Saccharomyces cerevisiae S288C: one gene and its partner. The gene in region 1 interacts genetically with each later gene. Each region holds a gene or a part of one and is shown on either strand. Other genes may lie near its edges.

Region 1 (3,844 bases):
TTATCAGACCGGAGGATTTAGACGAAGAGCGTGCACAATTACTGGAATCTGTTAAGGAGGTTCCAGGTGTTGAAATCATGACTTCTTCATGCCAACTGGAAGAAAACGTTATGGAAGTTAGAAACAAAGCATGTGAAAAACTATTGGCTTCTAGAATTGAGAATAAGTTGAAATCTCAGTCTAGAATCAACAATGTTCTGAACAAGATTCATGTTGCTCAACCTCAAGCAAGAGATGATGTCAAGAGAACACCATTTATCCCAGAATCTGTCAAGAATTTGAAGAAATACGACCCTGAAGATCCAAACAGGAGAAAGTTGGCCAGAGACATCGAAGCTGAAAATGGTGGTGCTGGTGTCTTCAATGTTAACTTGAAGGACAAGTACCTATTAGAAGATGATGAGTGGAAGAATGACATCATGCCAGAAATCTTGGATGGTAAGAATGTTTATGATTTCTTGGACCCTGAAATCGCTGCTAAACTGCAGGCTCTTGAAGAAGAAGAAGAAAAATTGGAGAACGAAGGGTTCTACAATTCTGACGATGAGGAAGAAATCTACGACGGTTTCGAAGCATCCGAAGTAGATGATATCAAGGAGAAAGCTGCATGGATTAGAAATAGACAAAAGACGATGATTGCTGAAGCAAGAAATAGGAAGTCCTTGAAGAACAAAGCTATCATGCCACGTTCTAAACTAACTAAGTCCTTTGGTAAAATGGAAGAACACATGTCCACTTTGGGCCATGACATGTCAGCCTTACAAGATAAACAGAACCGTGCTGCTCGTAAGAACCGTTATGTTGAAAGAGGTTCTGATGTTGTTTTTGGCGACCAAGATGCTTTGACAGCTTCCACTGAAAACGGTGTCAAGTTGAGACAAACCGATAGACTGTTGGATGGTGTTGCTGATGGCTCCATGAGATCCAAGGCCGACAGGATGGCCAAGATGGAAAGAAGAGAAAGAAATAGACATGCCAAGCAAGGTGAATCTGATAGACACAATGCTGTTTCCTTATCAAAGCATTTATTCAGTGGTAAGCGTGGTGTCGGTAAGACAGATTTCCGTTGATTTCTCTACTTCTTATTCTTTCTTTTGCATGTACTTTAAAAAAAATATGAATATAAAATGTGGATGTACGTACACGACATTCTAATCTTTTTGGGCTGGTAGGATTACCATTTACATTTGATTATCTCTCTCACTATTAGTGGTTTCTTTTTCTTTCTTTCTCACTTTTTCTGTATCTTTTTTTTAAAAAAATTTTATTTAATCTGTATAATAATAATAAACCGATTTAAATTATCCAACAAGCCGACCCCTCCATGTTCTACTATTTTTTTGTATGTCACTGGATGTATACAAATAATTAAGCATGTGGAAAAAGAAGGGGTGGGATAGCGTCAAGATGACACTTCTACTTTTTTGTGACACATCATCATGCAACCTATCGAGTCTCCCACGAGGTTGACAAATAAGAAATTGTTATCGTTTTTGCAGTGTATCGTATAAGGCAACAATAGCGATGTCTCCCATCAATTGACTGATAAATTCCTGCAAACTATCATTTTTTTTTTTTCATCCTTGTGCCGCGTCTGTAGCCGAAAATCTGAGAGTGCATGAATCTTAAAAAACAGAAGACTCATCGCCGTCTTTGGCACATTGGGGTTGTCTTTGACTTCTTTTGCTTATTTTTGCTCACTTTGCTTATTTTACCTATTTAACTAGAGGTTCTAAAAGAATAGCCAACCAGCGTGTAGTTCTTATTTCTAATCCTTGTCTTGTTAAGTTGAAACTTGTGATATTGGCTGAACAAATTCTCCGCATTTAGACAACACACAAATTACAGCTTTCCCCTAGTAACGATTGTTGATTGAGCTCAGACAATACGCGCAATTTAAAAACGTTTTATAGTGTAAGAGAAGACAAGTACAAGAAAAAAATGGTTGCCAATTGGGTACTTGCTCTTACGAGGCAGTTTGACCCCTTCATGTTTATGATGGTCATGGGTGTCGGCATTTCATCGAATATTCTATATAGCTTCCCATATCCTGCAAGGTGGCTAAGAATATGCTCCTACATCATGTTTGCTATCGCTTGCCTTATTTTCATTGCTGTGCAGGCACTACAAATATTACATTTGATTGTCTATATTAAGGAGAAAAGCTTCAGAGAATATTTTAATGACTTTTTCAGAAATATGAAGCACAATTTATTTTGGGGTACTTATCCCATGGGGTTAGTTACAATTATAAATTTCTTAGGAGCACTCTCGAAAGCGAACACGACGAAGAGCCCCACTAATGCCAGAAATTTGATGATATTTGTTTACGTCTTGTGGTGGTATGATCTCGCAGTCTGTCTAGTAATAGCGTGGGGTATCTCGTTTCTCATCTGGCATGACTATTACCCTTTGGAAGGGATTGGGAATTATCCTTCATATAATATCAAAATGGCATCCGAAAACATGAAAAGTGTATTGCTACTGGATATCATTCCGCTGGTTGTCGTCGCTTCAAGTTGTGGAACATTCACAATGTCAGAAATATTCTTCCATGCGTTTAATAGAAACATTCAACTGATAACGTTGGTCATATGTGCCTTAACGTGGCTGCATGCCATTATCTTCGTCTTCATACTGATTGCGATATACTTCTGGAGTCTTTATATTAATAAGATACCACCAATGACACAGGTTTTCACCTTATTCCTGCTTTTGGGCCCGATGGGCCAAGGAAGTTTTGGAGTCTTATTGCTTACAGATAATATAAAAAAATATGCGGGCAAATATTACCCAACAGATAACATTACAAGAGAACAAGAGATATTGACTATTGCAGTTCCATGGTGTTTCAAAATTCTAGGCATGGTTTCTGCTATGGCATTGCTCGCTATGGGCTATTTTTTCACCGTGATTTCTGTCGTTTCAATCCTGTCGTACTACAATAAAAAAGAGATTGAAAACGAGACAGGAAAAGTGAAGAGAGTTTATACCTTCCACAAAGGTTTTTGGGGGATGACTTTCCCGATGGGTACTATGTCTTTAGGAAACGAAGAGTTATATGTGCAGTATAACCAGTACGTTCCCTTATATGCATTTAGAGTCCTAGGAACCATATACGGCGGTGTTTGCGTTTGTTGGTCAATTCTATGCCTTTTATGCACATTGCATGAGTATTCTAAAAAGATGCTGCATGCTGCCCGTAAATCTTCATTATTTTCAGAGTCAGGTACGGAAAAGACGACAGTTTCTCCGTATAACAGCATTGAAAGCGTGGAAGAATCAAACTCGGCTCTAGATTTTACGCGTTTAGCATAAAATTGTTGGTTTTATACGTACATAATTGGCAAGCATTTCATGTAGGAGTCTCAATAGATAGTTTAATTCATTTGCACGGCGCTTTGCTGCTTTTGCTTCTTCACGTTGGTTTTCACTATGCCTGATATTTTTTGACGTCACTTAGTAAGCACGACCCTTGTCAATTTTTCGAGGATTTCGGAGCTTTCCATTTGGAATCTACTATTAAAATCAGTCTAAAAAAGTATAAGAAACACTTCTGGTTTTTCTCATGCGCTTCTCACTCTCAGTATATTTTGCTGCTTTCCTTCATATGTATATATATCTATTTACATATTAGTTTACAGAACTTTATGCTTTCTGCAACCAAACAAACATTTAGAAGTCTACAGATAAGAACTATGTCCACGAACACCAAGCATTACGATTACCTCGTCATCGGGGGTGGCTCAGGGGGTGTTGCTTCCGCAAGAAGAGCTGCATCTTATGGTGCGAAGACATTACTAGTTGAAGCTAAGGCTCTTGGTGGTACCTGTGTTAACGTGGG
Region 2 (2,880 bases), on another chromosome or scaffold:
TAGTATATATATTTATGAAGAACCGCTTAGTATTGAGTAAGTAAAAAAAAATTGCACAAGGAATTAATATATGAGGAAACTACTAGTCGATCAGATAAGATATTATGACCAGATATGCAAAAAAAAGGGGGCGAGCTGGGAATTGAACCCAGGGCCTCTCGCATGCTTTGTCTTCCTGTTTATTCAGGAAGTCGCCCAAAGCGAGAATCATACCACTAGACCACACGCCCGAATTATTGTTGCGTTAATAAGAAAAACAGAAATATTTATATAGGAGAGTGATTAAAGGGAATCTTCTATCAACAATATCCATTCAAATTCAGGCGCATAACGTGAGTGAATATAGAATTGAGCCTCCTATTAGTCTTCCCGATTTCATTCGAGAAACATATCAGGATTAACCTGTACATTATGGTGTCTGTATTACTATTTTACATGTTCACGTTTATTTCTTGCTCATATATTCATATGGATGACCACTACGTTTGCTACCATTAAGTCTAATTATTTCAGCAACCAATATTCCATGTAAGTGTATAGCTAGTGGATATTAGACAACGGCTGCCACATGGTTAAGTCTTTTGCTCACCAGGACTACCGGTAAGAATCTGTTCCTTGTAACTCATTGCAAGGAGATTTTAGTTGCTCCCAATTATATTTTTTGAAGCACTAGCAGGGCAATGATTTTTCTTCTCGTAAGTACATGAATTATGAAATACTTTTTGGGATTTCGTTGTTGTCAAAGGCTATAAAATTTAGTATACAAAGTATACCAGAAAGTTTCCTCGAGGATATAGAAATTCACAAAAGGAAATCGATATTTCTATGTAATAATATAATTAAATTTCCTTCCATCTCATATCCTGTCATTAATTATTCCATTACAACATCATTCCCCTGAATTTCAGCTTCCACTACACCTGAGACTATCTCTCAAACGTTACGCCATATTCTCACACCCATATTATAATATAGTAGTAATATGAATACTAATCGGTAGATGATAGTTGAACTTTATTCAAATATCATCGAAGTAAGAAGATATACTACTAAAGACTCCCTTTGCTCTATATTCGAGTCAGGCTCCACCAGTCATTTCGAAATTAACCAGTTACAGGTCAAAAGACTAAACTTACTGCAAAACCAATTTGCTTCTGTTTTCACTTCTTTCCACCCCAAAGATAATACAAAGGGCATACATATCAATTTTTTTTCACCTGTCACTAGGATAACTGACCTTCAATATTCCTTTTTTTATACGAATCAGATACTGTTCGGTACACGATATCTAATTAAAATGATTCAAAACTTTGTAACAGGTAAAGTTTTCACTAGAACCAATCAATCCAAGTGAATTAGGGGAAACCATAGTTGTTGATTTGTAGAAACCTCACATTGTACATTGTTGGTTTGTTGGGCATATCAGAACGAGAGATTTTCCAACATTCAATATACACTAAACCCTATGACGAGTCCCACAGATGGCGTAAGGTTTTTATGATTTCAGCAGGGTACGACGACTAGTACCATATTAACATTTTTTAGTGTTTCTAATTTGGGAAAAGGTCCGTGTTTTTTCTCCTAGCAACCGTTTAGTGCCAAGGGTTAGGCAATTGAACGAGGCCAAGACAATATTGGCTTTGCTTCTATTACTTGGCTAACATTGTGTCTGCAGGTCGAAAGGCACCTTTACTGTAAGGAACATTCTTGCGCTCTAAACATACGAAGATATGGGGAATATGAAGCGTGTTTCTTATACGAAGTGCAGCATCGTTCAAGGAAAATACACCCCCATAGTAATAATGGCTAAGTGGCCAGGAATTAGAATATGTGAGATATGAGTGCAAAATGAGTGACCAGTAATAGCCTGTTTGGGATGTAATTGCTCAAAAAATTTATATAAATACAGCGGTTTGATCAGCTTTGTTTGAGACATTTCTCTGTTCTTTTCCTTCCAGTTAAGCTTATATCTCCACTAAGCAACAACCCAAAAAACAACAAATACAATGGTCAAATTAACTTCAATCGCCGCTGGTGTCGCCGCCATTGCCGCTGGTGCCTCCGCTGCAGCAACCACTACACTATCTCAATCTGACGAAAGAGTTAATTTGGTTGAATTAGGTGTCTATGTTTCCGATATCAGAGCTCATTTGGCTGAATACTACTCCTTCCAAGCTGCCCACCCAACTGAAACTTATCCAGTTGAAATTGCAGAAGCTGTTTTCAACTACGGTGATTTCACCACCATGTTGACTGGTATTCCCGCCGACCAAGTTACCAGAGTTATCACTGGTGTTCCATGGTACTCTAGCAGATTAAAGCCAGCTATCTCTAGCGCTCTATCCGCAGACGGTATCTACACTATTGCAAATTAGAGATAGATTCCCTTAGGGATAAAATGTGATACGAATTAGAGAATAACGAAAAATATACAATTTTTTTTTTTTTTTTTGATATAGAAATAGTTAAAATACATTCAAATGTATACCGATATTATAAGCTTTCTCGATTAGTTTCGGTGCTTTTTTGAAGCCGTAAGTAATATGCAAATTTGTTATGACTTCTTTTCTATTCTTGCAGCAAATGTTGGGATTTAACTTCCAACTGGTGCCGTGCCATTTTTATTATTAACTTTAATAATGTTCTATTGTATTGGGACGGAAAAAGCTTATTTCTTAAATTGGAGCAAGAATCTCGGAGTTCGGTGCCTATCCGAAGGTTCGCCCTGACGAAATACACTAGGCAGGAAAGTTTTCTCACAACAAGAATTAGAAACGATATTAAGCCTGGTTCAGTTTACACATCAGACATACTCGATGAGTTAATACAAAAAAAAAAATTGCAGGTGCTTTATAAAGTAAAATAACATCGTGGAATGCA

What was found. Genes that interact genetically often act in the same process or in processes that back each other up.
Region 2: mutations in SSU1 (region 1) and PAU5 together harm fitness less than expected from each alone (positive genetic interaction), as found in Saccharomyces cerevisiae (one large-scale study listed by BioGRID).

What each region holds. Positions count from the first base shown.
Region 1 is NC_001148.4:371,852-375,695, forward strand, and holds SSU1 (Ssu1p), read left to right. Parts: upstream 1-1,941; coding exon 1,942-3,318; downstream 3,319-3,844. Other genes in the region: putative GTPase NOG1, read left to right, coding at 1-1,070; glutathione-disulfide reductase GLR1, read left to right, coding at 3,651-3,844. UniProt on the Saccharomyces cerevisiae protein: Involved in efflux of free sulfite. Mutations in the SSU1 gene cause sensitivity to sulfite.
Region 2 is NC_001138.5:98,726-101,605, reverse strand, and holds PAU5 (seripauperin PAU5), read left to right. Parts: upstream 1-2,006; coding exon 2,007-2,375; downstream 2,376-2,880. Other genes in the region: YFL019C (uncharacterized protein), read left to right, coding at 1,001-1,354.